Linked DNA regions of Mytilus edulis. The protein of the gene in region 2 interacts with the protein of the main gene of each other region in a biochemical or structural test. Links are inferred from orthologs where the notes say so. Each region holds a gene or a part of one and is shown on either strand. Other genes may lie near its edges.

What was found.
Region 1: the proteins of poly [ADP-ribose] polymerase 1-like (region 2) and E3 ubiquitin-protein ligase RNF4-like form a complex in vitro, tested with the Homo sapiens proteins (2 studies listed by BioGRID and IntAct, with this or other methods). The link is inferred for Mytilus edulis from reciprocal best matches to the Homo sapiens genes PARP1 and RNF4.
Region 3: the proteins of poly [ADP-ribose] polymerase 1-like (region 2) and core histone macro-H2A.1-like form a complex in vitro, tested with the Homo sapiens proteins (2 studies listed by BioGRID). The link is inferred for Mytilus edulis from reciprocal best matches to the Homo sapiens genes PARP1 and MACROH2A1.

What each region holds. Positions count from the first base shown.
Region 1 is NC_092347.1:57,598,434-57,606,385, forward strand, and holds the start of E3 ubiquitin-protein ligase RNF4-like, read right to left. Parts: upstream 3,100-7,952; 5' UTR 3,052-3,099; coding exon 2,989-3,051; intron 518-2,988; coding exon 361-517; intron 1-360. Other genes in the region: phosphatidylinositide phosphatase SAC2-like, read left to right, coding at 3,168-3,267, 7,353-7,433. UniProt on the Homo sapiens protein: E3 ubiquitin-protein ligase which binds polysumoylated chains covalently attached to proteins and mediates 'Lys-6'-, 'Lys-11'-, 'Lys-48'- and 'Lys-63'-linked polyubiquitination of those substrates and their subsequent targeting to the proteasome for degradation.
Region 2 is NC_092346.1:99,417,906-99,425,157, forward strand, and holds the start of poly [ADP-ribose] polymerase 1-like, read right to left. Parts: upstream 3,108-7,252; 5' UTR 2,979-3,107; coding exon 2,874-2,978; intron 1-2,873. UniProt on the Homo sapiens protein: Poly-ADP-ribosyltransferase that mediates poly-ADP-ribosylation of proteins and plays a key role in DNA repair.
Region 3 is NC_092352.1:9,734,761-9,742,360, reverse strand, and holds the start of core histone macro-H2A.1-like, read right to left. Parts: upstream 3,100-7,600; 5' UTR 2,965-3,099; coding exon 2,796-2,964; intron 227-2,795; coding exon 120-226; intron 1-119. UniProt on the Homo sapiens protein: Variant histone H2A which replaces conventional H2A in a subset of nucleosomes where it represses transcription. Nucleosomes wrap and compact DNA into chromatin, limiting DNA accessibility to the cellular machineries which require DNA as a template.

The sequences.
Region 1 (7,952 bases), on a different chromosome or scaffold from region 2:
AACCTTCCTTACGTGGTCATAAACCTTGTGCTAAAATTTCATTGATTTCTATTCACTTTTACTAAAGTTAGAGTGCGAAAACTGAAAGTATTCGGACAACGACGACGACGACGACGCCAACGTGATAGCAATATACGACCAAAAAATTAAAATTTTTGCGGTCGTATAAAAATTTAATTGCATTTCTTCACTTAGACTTCACTTGGAAGTTGCCTATTCTCCTAAGCTATATCGTATATTAATATGCATTTCTAATTTCTCTTTTGAGGCTTCATCACTGTTGAGGATGGAACTGGATTGTTGAATTTAATTCATGTCTGTATTTTATTCAACATGTTAAAGAGAAGCAAATATTTATACCTTCAACATCAACTACTTCCTGATTTCTTTCCCTTAGAGGATTATTTCTTCTTCTTGCTCTTTGTGTTTGAACAACTATTGGTAACCTTTGACCTGACGAACTTCTAGATGTCAAACGTCTGTGTCTCCTGTGATCAGATCTCTGCATTCTAGGAAGCTGTCAATTCAAATAAAATACATTACATTATTATTAAGAAAAGATGCCCAAAGGGCACTTCTAGAATTAGATTCTAATATCATACCAACAGTACCACATTATTATGACTTGCCTTAGTGGGCTTGCTTGATATTCTTGCTGATAAAGTTAGTATCAAAAACAAAAATGCTTTTATTCTGTATACATTGTAACATGTTGCAAGATGATAAAATATATAACTGCCATGATATTAATAATAAACTGCTTAGCTGAATGCAGCTGGATACGCCTCCAGAGGTCCAACCCTGAACAGTTTAATTTGGGCAAAAAAGACACAATATTCAAGCTTGATACAGGTCTGAATTTTGATTGTAAGTACATGTAACTATTTGACATATTAATAAATGAAGTCAAAGAACTCAAATTGGTTTAAGGTTATAAATAAATAAATTGAATTTGTATCCAATTAGATTTTTTGTGGTTGCGCAATACACTGTGCTGTTGCGCAATACTTAGTAAATCAGTTCTACATCAGACTATATAATATCGTGACCAAGTCCCCTATTACAGTAGAAAATTCAATAATAAATATTTTTTTTTTTAAATCGGGAAAATTTCCCGAATTTTTTTTGTCGCGTTTATGAATTTCCAGTCTGCGCAGAAATCTACTTCCGTTTCCGGTCTTGTGACATGAGACTTTGAATAAAATGTATATTTATCAGTCTAAGAAAGTAACTAATACTAATTCATTTTAAAACAAATGTTTGTTATTAAAAAAAAGTTATCTGATGACAGCGTTTCTTTGATTACATTGAATATGACGTCATAACTTAAATAAATGTCACAACTAAAATCCCTAACAACAGAACCAAAATCGGAAACATTACGGTATCTCCGTTTCTCTTTTTAACATTGTTGATTTAAAAAAAAAAATCATAGACTTTGTCCCCATTCACAGGTAATGCCTGCCTCATATTATAAACAAACAAAGTTTCATGAAAATTGGTAAAAGCATTTCTTGAGTTATTGTCAGAAAATTGGACATTGATGGAAAATCCCTCCTTTTTCAATAAATAAAACCCCAAAAGTCGGAAACCAACAGTTAATCTGAAATTGATAAAATGAAAGCTTTTTTAAGGGAGCTCACGTCAAAAGATATAAACAAAGTTTCTTGAATATCTGTTAAAGCATTTTGGAGGTATAAATGTATGATATGTTGACGACGGACAAGCAGACGCAGTGTTCTAGGATTCCCATTACCCGTTACCCGGGGTAAGTGGATTAGGACAACGGGTAAGTCATTTTTTAGCCTTTGTCACCCGGTGGTAAGTCAATTTTCAAGTTCGGGGAAGCCGAAAAACTCTTGAAATTTCCCGGTCCTCTTCAATTTTCCCATATCTGCTTTTTATTTTTATTAAATCACGAGAAAAAACTTTGATAAAAGATCGAAGATTTTGTCGATGTCTATCGGCGCTTTTATTCAAGCACTCGTTTACTAGGTGTAATCAAGCGCAAAAGAGACCACATTCTTCTCCTATCATTCTAAAAGTCGGTCACGGTGTCGGTAAAAATCGGAAAATCCGGATTGATAACTGGTGCTTAAATCGGGACATAAACAATTTTTTTTCTTGTCATCGGAGGAAAATAAACTTACAGTTGCATTTATTATAGCTCTGAATAAATGACATAGTAATAACTATAACATATTTGTCAAATTTAGTAAGAAATCGTTTTTTTTGCGCCGTCCGCATTGGTTGGCGGATTTAACTTTTAGATGTGGGTAAGTAATTTTTTTATTGATCTTACCCGTGGTAAGTCAAGGTGCCAAAAAAATCCTAGAACACTGAGACGGTTAGCAGCATTCATTAATACTTCCTGTAAAAGGGGGCATAAAAAGAATAGACCACTTTCGAGTTCATCCGTCACCGGAAAAAACTCGTCAATTATACGCGCCTTTATGACATTTACCAGATAGAGGGGGTCGCCTGTATCCCTGCACTATTTACATGCATCAAGCGTCCTAGTGATCGTCATTATGGAGGATAAACTAGAAATAATGGTTGTTCTGTAGGTACTTAATGACAATTCCCTAATGACAGCAATGCTGATTGTCAATTTTGAGAATTCAATTTGCCGAATAATTCGTACAATATAGAATTATAGTTTTCCAACCACTCGCTCAACATTTGAATGGAAGTTACGACGCCCCTAAACGCACAAATGACGTTCACTAAAACCAGAGTTTTTGACGGAAAAGCATCGAACTCGAAAGTTGTCTATTGATACAAAATGAGAAAAAGAAAATTAGTCTGTATTTTTCACTTTCAGTTTCTTTTGACACACACCATATTTGTTTTTAAACCTCTATAGCTAGAAGAACGTCAATTCAACAATCATCAAAAAGTTAAATTTTGTAAAAAAAAATCGTGTAAACTACTTCATATATCAAAGTAAGCAATATATTTATAATGTTATCATCCATACAGACTTACACTCATATTTCTGATTTTACCGGAAGTGTTGCTCTCAAAGCTGAAGGTAAATAAAGTGTTCATTTCCTGCAACTGACATTTAGCTCGATTTTCTATCTCGTATATTATTTTTTGCCCCAAAAGTGAAAAATGAAATGAAACTTGTGGAGATAAGGTTCCTGTGATAAAGAATTGATAAAATGATACAAGTTTTTCACACTGAGGACCATTATATCTTACAGGATGGCGATTTTACGCTGTGGTGTAGTAGAACTACAGGAGATCTTGAACCAAAAAAAGGTGATTTCTAATGTTTATCCATATATGTTTATGATAAAAACATCCCAACTAGATGTGTCAATCCGACACGAATGGCCCCGTCTCAAAAAGTTGAAAGTCTGCAATTTCAATAACACATGTGCCTTTGTGGACACAAACATGATGGTAGTCTCACATATCAAAAATCAGCTAAAAAACTGGAGGCGTATAGAAAAAAAGTCTGTATGACTGTGATTTTCAACAATTTATAAAATTCCAAAGCCAGTTATTTTGGGCAAAAATTAGCCGAGCGGAACAAAAATTATGATTCTTCGAAAAGAATGACCTATCATTCTGAAAAATATAACTCCATACAGGTATTATACATTAGTACCACTGTACAGTAATTACATGTACTATGTGAGTTCGTGGTCTAGTGGTTATGACCGATGGCTACAGTGCTGAAAATATCAGCACATCAGAAGGGTAATTTTCACCCTCTCACACACATCTCTGGTACCCAGACTGGAGTTTAAACTAGAATGGGTACTTTGGGGGCCTCGGTTGGTCAAAGTTGTCCCTTACTTTGACCTGGAGATCAATCTTCTGATATCTCTCTGGTTTGTCTATTTCCACCGAGTGGCCCGGTGGTTCTCTCCGAGTACTTCGGCTTCCTCCACTATAATAACAGACTGCCCGGTGTCCTAGCACTCCCTTTGTGTTGGGTGGGGATTGATTGTCCTTGTAAAAATAATTGTCGTATAAACATACGTTAGTGACACATCTCCATTAATCCCGTTAGGGAGTGTACATGGATGCCACTGTACCCTTGCAGCTTTTGAGGGGTTCTTCGGATATCGGAGGCATTTACCAGTACATACATACATGGTGTTTACATGACATTTTTATACCCCTGCTATTAAAAAAAGGGGGGTATACTGTAACCCCTGCTTTAAAAAAAAGGGGTGTATACTGTTTTACCTCTGTCTGTCCATCCATCCATCCATCCATCCGTCAGTCCGTTCTTCCGTCAGTCCATCAATCCGTCAGTCCGTCCGTCCCATGAATATTTTTCGTCACATTATTCTCAGGAACTACAATGTATATACACTACCAGGATTTCTGAAATTTGGTTTCAGAGTTTATATATTTCAGCTATACTGTGTGATGCATTTTCAGATTCATCACACAACAACGTCCTGTTTGCCGAACACTTGTATCATTTTACACATGATAGCCAAGTTGAAAATTTTCGTTACATTTTTCTCAGGAACTATACTAAAAGGATTTCTAAAATTTGGTTTCAGGCTTGATATACAATGTAAGTCCTCTATACCGTGTGATTGCTTTTTTAGATTCATCACTTAACAACTTCCTGTTTACCGAACAAGTATCATTTTACACCTGATAGCCAAGTTGAAATTTTTCGTCACATTTTTCTCAAGAACTATACTAAAAGGATTTCTAAAATTTGGTTTCAGGCTTGATATAAGTCTGCTATACCATGTATACCATGTGATTCATTTTCAGATTCATCACTCGACAACTTCCTGTTTACCGAACACCATTATTAATATTATCCACTTGCGGCGGGGGTATCATCAGTGAGCATTAGCTTGCAGTTTCACCATGTTCACTTGTTTTCACTTTTTTTTTTTTGAAATGAAAATGTTGAGACAATATTGGAGAAAACAGTATTCATTTGATTTTAAAGTTAAAAGATTTAAAAAAAATACTCATAGTTGATCATGATTATCTAACTTGATTGAGTATCTATCTTTCAAGCTACACTGTATATACAATGCTAATAGCTGATAATTATTATCTACCTTGATTGAGTATCTATCTTTCACTCTAGACCATGTAGACAATGCGAATAGTTGATAATGATAATCTACCTTGATTGAGTATCTATCTTTCCCTCTAGACAATGCGAATAGTTGATAATGATTATCTACCTTGATTGAGTACATTTTGTATCTATCTTTCACACTAGACAATGCTAATAGTTTATAATGATTATCTACCTTGATTGAGTATCTGTCTTTCACTATAAACAATGCTAAAAGTTGATAATGATTATCTACCATGATTGAGTATCTATCTTTCATGCTAGACAATGTTAAAAGTTGATAATGATTATCTACCATGATTGAGTATCTATCTTTCACGCTAGACAATGCTAATAGTTGATAATGATTATCTACTTTGATTGAGTATCTATCTTTATATGCTTAGCATGATTAGCATTGTCTAAGACAATGCTATAATCATGCTAATTATAGTTGATAATGATTGGATTAACCAGGGTGCTGATTATCAAAAAAATATTTTAAATCATGTTTGAGCAAATGGAAAATGTGAATATTTCTTTTTGCACAACAGTTCATTTTGGGGTTCTCTTCCTGTCCATGTTTAATTATATTATCTGCATCGATTTCTTTGAAAAATCAGCGACAAGTAGTTGGATTTGAATAACTGAACCTAAATATATGGTGCTGGGTAAAAATTACTAAATAAGAACAATATACATGTATGTACATTGTTCGAAATAAAATGTATTCCAGATGTGCAATAGAGCTACTATATATATAGCTAATTAGTACATAAATGGACTTCATTCACATCTGACGAATCATGATAAGGACATTTTACCTGCACTCCTATTTCATTCTATATGAATAAATCAGAAAGAAACACTTACAAAGAATCAATGTTTAAGATAGTATTTTGTTATTATCGTCTTGCTTTTAAACAATTTAATAATAGCTGTTCTGCCTTAATTATGATGTACCAAACAGCAGTCAGACTAATAAACTGGTTCATCATTGACCTTTTAGACCATTAATGTTTAACTAGTTATATATACAAATTATGATAAGAAGTTAATCTGTTCCCAAGAAAGTATCTATTATCGAACATGTCGAATAATATTGATTCCTTGATCATCAGTCATTAAAAATTGTTGCTTTTTTCACAAAATTATTTATTTCATGTTTTTGATTTGGAAAAAAAAAAATATGTTTGAACTTGTTAAATGGCTATTTACATTAAAATAAAAACCCTACATGCTTTAGTCTTTCTGTAAATTAATCTTAATGTGTACCGTAGCTCCAATCCAGCAGATGAATTTTAAAAAAGAATATCAGTTTGACACATTATTCTAGGGAGTAATCATTTAACTTCAAATGGGGACGGGGGGGGGGGGGGGGGGGGGGGGGGTGTTCTGGTTTTATGTCAGAATCTCAACAACATTTTTTGGTCAAAGTGCGAACCTTTTTTTTTTAGTTTTTCACACATGCAATCAATTATTTTTTTTCAGAATACAAATGTATAATACTATTCAGTATGGGAAATTTGGTCATCATCTGGACCTAAATATTTTTCTTTCATCAAATTAGTGATCAGAATATTTTTTAAGGAAACAACCATCCCCACCTATCTCCCCCCCTCCCCCTTGAATTGAAATGGTGGTGTCCTTAACCCAATTGATCTGACCTTTTGCATATAACTCAAAAATGATTGTTTACAATGCTAAGGCCTATAGTTCCTCACATTATTTGTTAAGGAAAAAAATGAATGTCAAGTGATTAACCTTAATAATTGATTAGGATGTAGGCTCTATTAAGCTGCCTCATACTATAAATTCAATAGTCAGTGTCATGAAAAAATAAGTTGCAATATTTAGATGATACAATTAATCAATTGAAAATAATATTAGGTTATCTAACATATCTTTAAGAAACCAGTGTGGTTACTTCTAAATATTAAGCTGACAGATAATTGAATCGTCTAGTAGTATCATACATTTCTGACCTTTTTTATGATGGTGCATATTGATTTCTATGGCATTGACCTTTCACATCAGTTCAGTTTCAAAACAAAAACAAAATTACATTTCATTTTCAAATGTCAGAACTTATATTTTGTGATTTATTGTAAATGTAGGATGTAGTGAAGGAAACAAACAATCAAACAAACCAATATTTTATTTGCCAATCCTGGCGTATGCAGACAAAACATTGTGTCTCACAGACATATCATCTTACACATGTTTTTAAAAGACAGCAATCCAACAACAATCTTTCCCATGTATGATATATTTGTATGATATTTTATTCTTATAGGTATAGACTTATGTTCAGCATGGAATCCTGTTTGTATTGGAATGGTCTATGGGGTTATTGGAAAGGTCAAAGTTCACCCAGGTAAGATGAATTCAGTGGAAGATCCAGAAATTTTCATAAGGGGGTGCCCACTGACTGCCTAAGAGAGTGCCCGCTCCTATCATGCTTCAGTGATTCTCTACATAATCAGCCAAATTTTTCCACACATCCAGGAAAACCCTCTAAATCTGCCCCTGGAACAAGGCAATACAAACTGGTGAACTAGGATCTTAGGATGGCATCACATGCTCATTATAGAATAATTATACATTTATATTAATAAATAGATATGGAAGATGTGGTATGAGTGCCAATGAGACAACTCTCCATCCAAATAACAATTTATAAAAGTAAACCATTATAGGTCAAGGTACGGCCTTCAACACAGAGTATTGGCTCACACAGAACAACAAGCTATAAAGGGCCCCAAAATTATTTGTGTAAAACCATTTAAATGGGAAAACCAACGGTCTGATCTATATAAAAAAAAAGATAAACGAGAATCACGAATAAATTGCATAAACAAACGACAAGTACTGTACATCAGATAAACATGATAAA
Region 2 (7,252 bases):
AGCTGAAACTGCTTGTAAATGATTCTAGAACGCTTCATGATTGTTAAAACAAGTTTAATTCACTTAAAAAACAATTTAGAAACTTGTGTATGTTTAAACAGGAAGTTTAAAAAGCATGTGTAAAAGAAGAAATTAACCGGTGAGAGTCAAAATCTGTACATGACAGATATCAATATAATACGACTTTGAAAGTTAAACACTTCCATCCTTTTGTAAAACAGTCTTAAATATACCTATCACATTAATGTTTGAAGGGTCTTAAGCAAATACAAACCATATTAGTCAGTATGAAACACCAAAACGGAATGAACAATAACCGATTACATTTTGTAGTTTACAAATTCTAAGTTGGTTTACGGTTGTCTTTTTTACTATGTTTATATCATTTCAATCAAGCAGATACCAGTTTATTTCAACCAATGCATTGAAAAGAAACGAGAAATTTGTATTGAACGGTTTAGTTTTTATATTTATCAGTATTAATTTGATATTGAATAGAAAGAACTTATTAATAAGGGCGTGTTAAAATTATTAGTTTGAAAAATGATGAGAGCGCCCTCTACAATATCAATAACAAAGATGGCGGAACGTAAACAAACCACCTTGCCGCAAAATTGAACTTTATCTCTTATTTCTTGCTTATTGTACTCTATAGACCGCACCCCTCTGGAAGGTCCAATTTTGGAGAATAAAGTATGTAAACTGGTTCCCGTCTGACTTCTACACTTTGTTCGAGTGTAGCGTAATACAAGCAGATTCCAGTTAGTATGTAAAATAGTAAATATGAAACCGAGTGCTGTAGGCGGAAATATAATCAACTTCCTTTAGTTCTGGTCAATTGTATCGGAAACATGCTGCTGATAGCGTCATTTTCCAAAATATTAAAACCGGGAAAATTTAAAGTCGGTCAGGAGAATTTTCAAATTATATGTTCCAAGAAAATTTTAAATTGCTATCATTTTAATTATTATGAATAATATTTTTTATTCAAATCAGTTGTAACTAGTAAAGCAAACGCTAAACGGTGCGGACTGCAGGTTCATCATGTCCATTATAAATGACTACCTGATAAGAACGGCTGATTTAATTCTTGTGCTTCTATTTTTCCGATTTTTATTTCACGTGTTTCCGTGTTCAGGGCCCCTCTTTACCACCCTCATAGGTCAGAGGAAGATATAAGTGATGATTTTTTTAACATCTATTGTTTATAAACAATACACCTTATCGCTAATCCCGGCTGACCCGGCTGCTTGAACTTTCAGTGTTCCAGCTAGGTTTTCAAAAGGGCAGGGTGCCAATCCTGAAAAAGGGCATTTAACGCGCGAAAAGATAATATGAAAAGGGCATATTTTAATAAAAGATGTTAATCAAACATTTGTGTTTATTCGTTGAATCACAGGTTATACAAGAACAACATCTTTAGCCCATATAGAACTCTATCTTTCTACTTTTAAGGCTGAAAAACTTGTCAAGCAGCTTGTCACACAAGTTTTTTTTTATCATTGCTTGGCACAGTTGAACTTTATATGCAGTATGTTTTGAAAGGAGATCTGTTTCATACTGTTTCTATGGTCTACCACATTTTACCAGTTTCACCTTCAGTCTACCCCTGCTGTGCTTGATGGCAATACAGCACAAAACAGCTGTGCTCAGTAAATTCACAATTTTAGGATATAAAGCAACAGTGAAAAATAGTATCAAAAATAAAGAATACAGAAAAAGATGACCAAGGCACCCTACCAACACTGCTACTAAGACCCTCTTTAACTTTTCCCATAACTCAAAATAAATACCTAAACATATATATTAAGCAAGAAGTATGGAGACACATTTTAGAATATGTAAATGGGTTACTCAATGCTAAGAAAAAAATCAGATTGAGTTATCTTTCTTTATTCGGGTGTGCTCCTTCTTTGGAGGATTATAAACAGTACGTAAATATGATGTAAATATGATCACAATATGGCCGCCGATTTTGTTATTTTCGTATCAAAAATGAAGGCAGTCAATGACAAATACGTCTGAATTTTCTGTTTATTTTACAGAAAACAAATAAAACAATGTCTTCAACGAGTTAATAATGGTTTTCCAACTTTCTGTCATTACGTTTCTTCCATGAAACTACGGTAAACATCGCAAATTGTGCCCAAGTTGTTGTATGCACATTTCTTCAAAGATAATTGCCGACTGACCGATTCTATTTGAACGAATTAATGTTGATGATCATTAATGACCCATCCGATAAACGGATTACCTATAACAACAGATTATGACACCAGTTGTAACCATTGATTAGCTTGGGTGGTAAACAAAGTCATAATCTTTTCCCCAGGTAAAATTTAGTAATTAGCGTATCATATCAATACGCAAATTAATATGCAATCGATCTTCAAAAAAGGCAGGGCGCCCTGGAAACTGTAAAAAGGGCACAGGGCGCCACTCGGAAAGGGGCGGGCGCCGCGCCCTCTGAAAACGGCCTAGCTGGAACACTGACTTTTGATGCATAAGGTGTATAAAACTTAAATTGCACAATACCCTATAGTTTAGTAAATGGAACATTTTTTCAAAAGAACCTTATCTTCTATTTTGGTAAAAGAATTAGTAGTCCAGAAAATTGTTAACTTTTCGTTTACTTGTAACATCTCCGTAAATCGGAAGACTAAAGGAATTTATGCACAATTGACGACTTGTACATGTTTGTAGTTTCAAGTTAAAAAAAAGTAATTCAACAAATTAGTTTATAGCAGTGACAAGTGTCTCTTATTTGATGAAAAGTTTAAAAGATGTGTACATCGTTTGTTCTCTGGGTGGATCAGCCAGGGTAAATTCTGCCAATTTCTGGGTGTAAACAAATATATATTTATCAGTTATACCTGAACCATTAATGCAAGTCTCAAAGACTCCTGACCGATTGTTGCTTTGCAGCCTTTGCATGACGCTCTCCCACTTTTTGCATATTCTGCTTTGAAATCGCTCATTCTTACAGCATTTGTTTACACTTTCCCACACGTTTTGCTTTTTGCTGAGCGTTGCATTAAAAAAATAACTAAAAACCGCAAAGCACTTCATAAGTTCGATTAAAATATAAACTGCATATGACACTCTCTGGTAATCTTTAATATCACTGTAAGATGAAAATGATAATTTTAGAAAAAGTATATATTCAAAAGGGAAAATGGTATGCCTTCTATTCATTAACAACCTTATTTATGTTTGTTATTTTTGTATTCTGTATTCTGTTTTTGGTTTTCAACTATACACAGCTTTCCCGCCAAAAAAAATAAATCTTAAAAACTTACCGGTTTTGGAAAGGAAAGAAAAACGGGTCTTCTTTTTTTTTATAATTATTTTATTTTTGAAGATGAAACATGTGAAATTACATAATACAGTATTAGACACAAGTATAAAAAGTTAAATAACACTTGTAAGGTCAATTAAATCATAATGGTATAATAAGATATAAATATTACAATTGATTTTGTTAATTTAATGCTGCTTCTAACAATTGCCACTTCTGATCCAATTTTATTTTTTGTGTAGGGGTTAAGAAACATACAGAGTATTTTTCTATTTTGATCCAATACTTTAGATATTCTATCCCACCATATTTTGTGGGCAATACGCTCTTACATCTACATTTGTATATATAGTATTTAAGTAACAACAAAATATTATTAACTGTTTTACTGTTGACAAAATCCTCAGACACACCTAAAATGACCTCTTTTGCACTAAAAGGCAAGAAGATGTCATAATTTCTAATCCAATCTATAATGGAAAACCAGAAGTTTTTTGTTACATTACATTCCCAAAAAATGTGAAAAATATTTTCTCTAACTTCTGAACAAAATGTACAAAGTTCAGTTTCTTTTAATTTACATTTATATAAAAAGTAATTACATGGTAAAATTCTATGAACAATCTTAAATTGAAAATTTTGTAAAAACGAATTTCTTGTTATAATGAAGGGCATGGAATAAATAGCATTCCAATCTTCAATCTGTATATTTAAGTCTATTTCCCATTTGTTACGGGAAGATAGTGATAATACTTTATTATCCTCCAGAAATAAATTATAGAAAAATTTACAAGATTTTGGTTCTTTTTTAACTTTATCTACTAATTTATTTTCAATATTATCAAGTCTAGAACTACCTTCTATCCTACTTTAATTTCCATCTATTTGGAATAGCACTTAAAATACCATAAAACTCTACAAAATTAGTCTTGGTATTATACTTTTAAGCTTACCGGTTTTGGAAAGGAAAGAAAAACGGGTCTTCTTACTATATATCTTACTCCAAATATAGTCGTGTCTATAGTCGTGCCATTTAATAGCTCCGTTTTCTGATCTGACTTGTGTCGTGAGATGTTTGGACTTTGTTATACTAAGTTTACATTTAAAAAGAATAACGTATGAACTAAGAAATTCGGTAATAAGGGTATATGTAAAGCTAAATACTGTCCGTATGAAATATTGTCCACCAGGAGTGACTATATTCATTGGGACTTCAGTCATAACTATGTATCTAAAACATAGATGTATTTATCATGTAATACCCATCTATGGTATCATGAAATATTTTCCTCATTTATGAAATTATCTCCAGAGAAGGACATATCTTCATCATTGTGAAATTCTGTCTGTTTAAAGACAATATTTCACAGATGAATGATTTGTAAAATGAGACTATATTTTACAGTCAGATTGTCATGGACTGAATTTTGTCTCATGAAGGACGGGAAATGAAATACAAGTATTGGAAAACGATATTCCAATTATTCTTCTACCTCCAAAACGCATACAAAATATCCGTCAATCTAGTTTATAGAAATACTAGATGTATATTCAATTTTAGATTTTTAGAACATAGTCATTACTTACGGGGCGCTGAACGGGAGTCTTGTGGTTTTGTTCAAAATTCAATTCTGTCATGACAAAATCATTTTTGTCTTACAAAACTATGTGATACAGACTTGTTTTATGAGAACTTCAATTTTGTGATGACAAAATTCATTTTTGTAAACAAAATTCATTTTTGTAAACAAAATTCATTTTTGTAGACAAAAATCATTACAATAATCATTTTTGTCATGACAAAAATTAAATTTTGTCAAATAGGTATGCAAATATAAACTTATTTACATACAAAATTTACTTTTGTGACAAAAATGAATTTACAAAATTATTTTTGTGTAGACAAAATTGACTTTTGTGACACACTGAACATGGACTTTTGTGACAAAAATGACTTTTGTGACAAAATTGACTTTTGTGACACAAAAATTGACTCTTGTGGCACAACATTGAATTTTGTAACTTAATATCAGTTGTGTATGCAAATTCGTTCACAGAATCCAAACTAAACTAATTTGCATACAAAATTGACTTTTGTCGCCCAATTTTCAAATTAGGTAGTCTGTGTTACAAAAATGAATTTTGTCATGACAAAAGTAACTTTTGGCCACTGAAAGATAATTTTGTATGACAAAATTTTAAATTTGTAGTATGCTACAAATTTTGTTAAACTGAACTCATTTTTGTTTAACAAAACTCACTTTTGTCTGTACAAAATTGAATTTCGAGTACAAAACCACATGCAAGAGTCCCATTCGGCGCCCGTATTACTTATATCTATACAGTATAATTTTGTACAATGGAACATATGTGTCTTTGGTAAATCTGAACGCAAATATAGTTGCTGCAACTCAATAACAGCCTTTGTATCTAATGAGAAATGTAAATATGCTTAATAGATATACTTCCTACAGCGGTGTGGTGAGATGATTGAGGCTGTTAATTTTCTCCTTGAATATATTCGTGTACGGTTCGGCAATAAAGTTAATCGACAGGCTGCATGTATTCATATGGGCACCAATTACGTCCCTTTAATAGCAGAATTATTCTTGTACTTTTATGAATAACAGTTTATGAGTAAAGACCTGTCTAAATTGCATTTAATTTATATATTCAAAAACACTTACCGTTATCAGATCTTATTTTGATGCTATTTTTTGTTAAATAATCAAGAATTTTCTAAATATACTGTCAACTTTTACCATAAGGAACTTACTTTAAATTCATAATATAAAAACTATAACTGTCCTTTCTTAGAGTAACGATATTTCAGTTTTACATGGGAAACTAGTCAATTTAAAATTTATGACAAAAGGGACAATTTTTCAATCCCTATTGTTAATTTTCCACTTTTGTTTGGACGTTGGTGTCCCTTTCACCATTTACGGTGTTTATATATCGCAACTCGTTTACTATGTCCGTGTCTGTCGTGACGTTTTTGACTTCAATGAACGTACACTAGTCTAGTCGGGGGTTTCGTAACCACAAATCACTTAAAACCTTTAATAAATTCTTCCACAGAAAGATATGGTTTTGAAGTTTAGTTGCGCATGTAGAAACTTGTTAAACATTTTGTGGGATGTTGTTTACCGAAATAGAAAATTTAGAAACGATCCGGATAAACCTATCGATCATTTCAAATAGATTCATTCAAAAAGGTTACCAATGCAACACTGACTGTACTTGAATCTTTGATTGTTGTTTTTATTGGTATTACTATTGATTTTGTATTCAATAAATTAATTAAAATCAGACTAAATATCACTTTTATATACATACCGTGATATGCACATTTATGACTCAACAATCTGTCGATACCTGTATATTGGCATTGCGCAAGGTCATGTTTTTTTCAATAACTGTTAATGACGTCTTTATACTAAATCCGTTGGACGTTGGATCTGTATTGATATCTTCATCTTAGATGCATGATTTTTTCATTAATTGATATTTGCTTTGAACTAGCTGTTAACCACTACGACTACTTTTTTTTTTTTGGGGGGGGGGGGGGGGTGAGGGGCGATGTGTTAATACCCTGTCAGGTCCACTATGTGTTTTCGTTAGATGTATTTCTATTTGTATCCATCTGATGAGTTCAAAAGACCTTTTCTAACTGATTTTTTTTTCTTATGTTGTACTGTTACATAACTTCCCGGGTTAGGGGTGGGTTAGTGCCGTCAGACTAGTTTAAGCTCACAACATTCTATATTATATGTGCCCTCTCCCAAGTCAGGTGCATGTTAATAAGTGGTTGTCGCTTTTTTGCATGTTATTGAGTGGTTGTCGCTTTTTTCTGTTTCTCATTTTTGTTTTTCGTTTATTGTTTTGTATAGTTTGTTCTTAAGTTGTACTGTCCCAGGATATGGGAGGGTTTGGCGCGAACAAACTAGTTTA
Region 3 (7,600 bases), on a different chromosome or scaffold from region 2:
AATGTTATTGGTAAGATAGTTTTTGGTTTTGCATTCCAAATCAAAAGGCTACCATACCCTATTAATTGAATGCTAAATAATTTTACATTGTTGACTGTAAACATTAAATTGTGACATACCCTATTTAATTCTTCATCATTAGCCACTGCTAGAAGAATATGTCGAGGAGTTACGCGAGCCCTTTTATTATCTCTAGCTGCATTTCCTGCCAACTCTAATATCTCAGCTGAAAAAGTATGATAAATATGAATATTTATGGCCATAATAGATATAAATCAAATTTCTACATATTTCATAAATCAACCATATTTGAAAAATAACAGTTACATTTTACTGAAGGTTATGTAAGGACTGTCATAATGCTTTACTTGTTTTCTTACCGGCAGTAAACCAAAGGATACAAATCAGTTTTAATAGTTCTGCAACATTTCTTTTTAATTTCAGCGTCACAGGGTAGAGTAAATAATTATTAATACCACTTAAGTTATAAACTAATAAATTTAACATGTTTTAAAAACAAATGATGTTAATCCCACTTTTGTCGATTATCTTCTTTTTTGTGTAGAAATTAGTAGAAATAGCTCTTGCATGGGCAGAGATTACAGTTGGGCGAGAATGTGTCAAGGAGTTACATCATGTACATGGGGAAGTTTGAAAAGTATCATAAGATACATATATGCATACCTGCCAACCTCTGAAACCTTCAAAGAGGGAGATCTCCCCCTCAGTTATGACAGCTGAGTGGGAGATTTTTCGCGAATGACATTTTCAAGTGAAATTATGACCTGTTTATTTATTCATCTACATAATAATAGATTTATTCTCTTTCTTTAAATATGGTTATATTCTAAAAAAAGGTGTGATGTTGTTTTCTTTCCTCTTTCATCACTTTTTCTTTTTTGACATTTGAATTGCATCAGGACAGCTATCCCTTCACCTAATTAACCATAATGTCACAATTAATGCTTTTAAGTGTGATCATCCAAATTAAATCAACAAACAAACAAATGGAAGTGTTTAACGACCTTCACTGGCTATACAGCCCTCGCACGGTCGGCTCGGTGCCCAAAAGGCGATTAATGAGCTCAAAACGTGAGGGTTGGAAGGTATGTATATGTGATTACCTATAAGTGAGACAAGTTTTCATTTTCTATTAGTCAGGAATTGTATTTTGATTGGTGTTCAGAGTGGCAGGAAAGAACCACTGAACTTCTGCAGGAAAACCAATAATCCTAGTCAATTAAGATTTGGTAAGTGCACACAGGTCTGCCATATGCTGTGGTTTAAACTCACAACAAGTGTGTGATAAGTTTATTAAGCTGATTATTATTTAAATTAAATATGGAGTTAGTTTGTAGTTTTTTTTTATTGTGCCAGGTTGCAATCATTTTATCAGAATGAATTCATAATGTATATTCTATGTTGTGTTATCGTGTTTGTAGGAAGTATATATAATATTGTTCTTAATTAAATGTAGGGCAGCATTTGCATTTTATTGCAAGATAGGGCAAATTAAAGCAAAGTCAGTTGAACCTATTACATATTTCCTATAAAAAGAGCTGGAACAGTTGTCAATGAATCCTGGTAAGTTCGCCCAAAAACATGTTTGCCCCCTTTCACTTTCGCACCCTACACGTTTGCATGCAAAGTCTGTTCGTAACCTACACTTTTGCACCCTTTTTATTGGTTTTGTGTTGGACAATTTGGTAATAGAGTTTTGATAAGTGTATTGCTATATATGTTTTTTTAATTGTTTCAGTATAAACTGAGAATGTTATGTTTTTTTATGTTGAATAAATCTTAATCATATTTTGGTAAGCGTATTGCTATATATTTTTTTTCATTGTTTCAAAATAAAGTGAAATTATGACATCTTTTTTCTGTGTTGAATTTGGTAATCTCAATCATGTTTTGGTTTGTGTATTGCTATAAAAAAAAAATTCATTGTTTCAAAATAAAGTGATTTTGACGGGTTTTTTTTTGTGCTGAAAAGGGAAATTCAATCATGTTTTGGTTAGCATGGTTATAGTGTATTGCTAGTATACTTTTTTTTCATTGTTTCAAAATAAAGTTATTTTGACAACATTTTATTTTTGTGTTGAACAAATCCTAACGATATTTTGATTAATTAGTGGATTGCTATACATTTTTTTCATTGTTTCAAAATAAAGTGAGATCAAGGGGCCAAGCTGTTTATGTTTTTCATTTAAAATCTTCTTTATTTAAAATCTTCAATGTTTTACTCATACCAAGCTAAATATATGCATTACACCAAAGCAAGTTAACACAACGATCATGATTTTTTAATAATTCAACTAGAATTTGATTAAAAATAGGGTGCAAATGTGTAGGGTGCTAACAGATCTCATTATCGAATATTCGAGGTGCGAACGCGTAGGGTACGAAAGAGTATTCTGCACATATGGACCTGATACAGTTGTTTGTAGCCTGTGAGGCCAAATTGAACTGTCCCATGAATAACCATACTGACTTCACCACTTATGAGACCAAATTGGACCACAATCCTATTAATGAGTCCAAGATTTGTTTAGTTACAGCTATAATAGTCAGAAAATATTAAAGACAGTAAACCATGCTAAGTAAATTCTAAGATGCATAGTTATAAAATATTACCAAATTAATTCTATTGCTCATTTACTTTGATTATACATTTTTCTGTCATATTACGTATTATAGATTATAGGTGTTTGTAGTCATGAGGCTGTTAGGGGGCATTTGCCAGTTGAAGAATTAAAATTAATGCGTTGTCATGAAATATAAATGGTAAGCAGTACCAGTTAGATACTCTATGACTGCTGCCAAATAGACTGGAGCTCCAGAACCGATACGGAAATGATGTGTCACTCCCTTCAGGTACCGGCGCATCCTTGCAACTGGAAACAAAACACCTGCTTTCGCAGATTGCGATGTTATCTTTTTCTTCTTTGCACCGCGTGCGGACATATTTATGCTTTATGATTGACCTACAAATGCTGACATGTACAATAATATCGTGTTGACACCGTAAACTAATTTGCAAGATCAGGCGAAGCTTAGCATCGACTTGCTTATTGGTCCTAAATCCAACTTCCGGGTGGATTCTAAATTGGGACGAAAGCTCCGAACAGCAAAGACTAAAACGCGGGTGATTTAAATTTATCTTAATACCAGGGTTAAAATTGTGCACACCAGACGCGCGTTTCATATTAAAGACTCATAAAGGAACACGACTATCTAACTTCAAGGGGGAGGGTATGGGTTTTCCTAAAAAAAAACCATGATGGAAACAAAAATTCTGGTCCAGCAGGGACTTTCTATATTCAAGCCAGAGACATTTCATACACCTTATCGCTATTTGTCCGCCATTGCTGGAAATCACACAGGTTCCCGTAAAATTTTGACGTCATAAAACAAAATGTCTGACGCCACAATGGAAAAGTGATTGTTGTTGACGTCAAAAGTTCAAGCGGACGGGTCAGCCGGGAATAGCGATAAGGTGTATTTATAGACAAAAACTTAACTTTCACCACTGAACCATGAAAATGAAGTCAAGGTCAGATGAGACCTGCCAGTTGGATATGCACACCTTACAACCCATTACATACAACAAATATAGTAGACCTGATGCGTAAAGTATCTGATACGGACTTGATCACAAAAACTTCACCTTGTTCACTGCTTTATGCAATGAGGTCAAGGTCAAGTGCAAATTAACTGACGGGCACGAACACCTTGCAAGGTAAGAGGGTCTGGATGGGGGGGGGGGGGTCTGTTATTCTGTAAACATTTAATTTTTACCCCTTTTTTTCTCTAATCTTTATAAAAAATTAACCCCTTTTTTCTCTAATCTTCAAAAAATTAACCCCTTCTTTGCCCATTATTCTCTAATCTTCAAAAAATTAACCCCTTCTTTGCCCATTATTCTCTAATCTTCATTTTTTAAGGACACTATTCTTTAATCATCAGTTTAACCCCATCCAAACCCTCGATCAGGTAAGCACATACCCAAATTTCATTATCTTGTTACTCCTAATAAGAGAGAAATTATCATTACAAAAAAATCTTAACTTTTTTCAAGTAGTCACTGAACCATAAAAATCAGGTCAAGGACAATGGAAATATGACAGACGAAAACTTCACATCATAAGACATATATATCATAAGACATCTATATATAACTTTTTCATACATTTCAAATGTTATATTTCATTGTAACATAAATTGGATTTTTTCCTTTGATGTTTTTATGAAATAATTTGCTTAAAAAGTGCGGTGAGGGAAAACCATGGTATATTATATGCAAATTTATGTTGTACCATACTTTGCTAATTAAATATGCAACTCAACTAAAATCCAAAGGAAAAAAGGCGGAGCTTCAGCCATGGTATAACATATTCATTTTCATGTTATTCCATGGCTGAAGCTCCACCTTTTTTTTTTTTAATGTATCCGCCTCTAAAATATTTAGGAAACCGTAAAACGTACTAAAAGGTCAAGATCTTCATTTGTTTTCATTTTATAAGAAAAAGCAATGAATTATGTGTACCACATTTTAAGAAACCTTTTTCAAACTATAAGATTGTTACGAATTCCCTTAACTTTGGAAACAATTACTAAATGTTTCTTCTTTCAGTTTTGAAAAAAAATAAAATGTAAAACTATTATTTCCTTTGCGAAAATTCAATTAAATTTCGATATAAAAAGGAATAAATATCAGCTACAAATATCTGTGAAAAAAACATGATTTTTTTTGCAATCAATTAGGGGGACGTACACTATCTACGCCCTCTGGATCCGCCACTGTTTAAATACATTGTTTTATTATTAAAATTGTGTTTTAATAAATAATCTAATAAAATAACGGAAGAAAAACATTTTTCAATCAGATGAAAATTCTGTAAAATATGATTAATTTGTATGATACATTGAAAACAAACAAAGAAAAACAATTCTTACCGTCATTAGAATAATCATTTAATCCTTGTCGCTGGAATCCGACATTTTTGTTTACCTCAGTCATTATGAAATTACCTGCTCATACAATCATACACGGGGCGCAAAACTAAAATAAATTGGGAAAATCCGACATTTTCTTTACTTTCTGCAAATTCAGGGGCTCTATTACATAAAATACACAGACGATCATACACGAAGCGCAAAAGTGACGCGCGAGCTTCCATTTCATTGGATAAAACTGTAACGTGATCAATTTCTAATATTAGTTGAAGGTCTTGAAGCTGTCAATCATTTTATTTATATTACAAATTTTATATACCATGTGTCTTACTCATTAACATATTTAAACAAACTCATCCTTCGGATTCGTTTGTTTAAATATGTTAACTCGTAAAAACCATGGTATATATAGTACTTAACTGTAAATTTATTGTGTTCATTTCTCTCTCGCACTGAAAATCTAGACAACAGCAAAAGTAGGCGAGACACTGCATGGGTTCCATGGAATCCTTAATTATTATTTTTTTATTTGTCACTAGTTTTCATTGGAAGTTGATGATGAGCCATCATGTCCATGTCTTCCACCTTCTGAAATATTAAACGCCGCCGCTGGATCACTGTCCCTTTGTCGCAGTGATAATGCAGCTTAGGCAGCAACCATTTGAATTTCAGGGGGGGGGGGGGCTATGGATTTTTTGGAAAAAAAAGTTTGTTTCCAGTTTTTTGAGAAAAAAATAATTTGTTTTTGACCCTGAGAAAAGAAAAATGTTTGTTTCACCCTCAGCTGCCACTATATATATGTAATGCTAAAATGGAAAGAAAAAAATGTTTTCGACTTGTCGCCAAAAAAATAGATTGTTTTTCGCCGAAATCGAAAGTTTGTCAAGAAAAAAATCCATAGCCCCCAGAAAATCAAATGGTTGATGCCTTATATAAAGGTAGGTAAAAATATGTATATTTGTTGAAGGTCAAGTTGAGGATATCCAGTCACATGGAAAATATACAACTGGACTAGAAGAACCTTTATAAGAGAAGAAGGCTACAAAAACATACTATCCAATATCAGTCCTTAAAACAGCACAATTTTAAATAAAATTCGAAACCGAAAATGCAGTGGCATGTGTGTGCATGTCGAGAGTTTATATCACGTTTTTCACGATTTATTTGATTTTTTCTAGTATAGATCAGTATAAAATTTTCCAAAAATATTATCCGTTTTATTGAATAATGCCCTTTCAAAAATCCTGGATCCGACCTAGAAATCGAATTAGTGTAAAGGTGAGAGGCTGAGCTGCAGTTATGACTTTGTTTGATGATGAATTTTGTGTCGATTCCCCCCCCCCCCTATAATTGTTGGAGAGGTGAAATCAAATTTGTTGGAGTACTTTATTACGTGTTTTAGTTGCCTTTTGGATTTGATTATTTCATTCTTTTGAAATAGTTGACAAGAAAATATCATATCAGGGAAACAGAGAGATACTAAACGAAGTATAGACATTACTGTATTACCTGTTTTATATGTAGCAGAAATAAAAACGGGACTGACAAGAAATCGATGGCGCTCTCTCTATCGTTGTATTAAAACCAATATTGGTATCCACAGACACAGTATTCAGACGGATACAGATACAAAAAAATTAAGCACAAGAATTCAGACCGATCAATTTTGGAAGGTTTTAACGCAGTACGTACCAAGTGGTATTTGCAACTCCATATCCTAAGTAAAATTTTGGAAATGAAATAGCGAATTCACAACAGAAAGGTATCTTCAAAATGTGTGGTCCGCTCCAACCAGTACAGAACTGAACTGTATGCCGCAGATCTGCTGCAGGTTTGCTTCAAACAAAAGTCAATTTTAAAATTGAATTTACATCTACATGTAGTTGTATCTAATAAATGCATTTCAAATAAATCCTTCTCTTGTATATTTAAATATTCAGTATCATTTGAGCACTCAACGAATAAACAATGTCAATTCTAAAATGAATTTGTTAAAAAATAAAAAGCATTTTAATGGTTGTATTTATATAGTTATCAAAGGTACCAGGCTTATAATTTAATACTTTTTCGTCTACATTGGACACATCAGTGACGCTCAGATCAAAATAGTTACAAAGCAAAACAAGCACAAAGTTGAAGATTATTGATGAACCAAAATTCAAAAAAAGTTGTGCCAAATACGGCTACGGTTATCTATGACTGGAATAAGAAAATCCTTAGTATTTCGAATAATTCATACTATTGCAAACAGTAAATTTATGAAATGACTATAATTGATATTCATGTCAACACCGAATTGCTGACTACTGGGCTGGTGATACCAATGGGGACGAAAAGTCCACCAGTAGTGACCTGTTCAAAACTCTTTAAAACCTGCTGCAAACACTTATATGCAAATGAGTGTTGCAATAAGTCTGCAGCTAGCAATCAATTGGAGGATTAATTGTGTTCTGCAGACCTGCAGCGCATTTGCAGCAATCAAACAACAAATACATATTCTGAACAAAAGTCAATTTGAATTTTAGAATGGAATTTACATCTAGCTGTATCTAATAAATGTATTTCAAATAAATCCTTCTCTTGTATATTTAAATATTAAGATGTGTATCCGCTACCGATGATTGAAAATAACTTGGATTTTTTT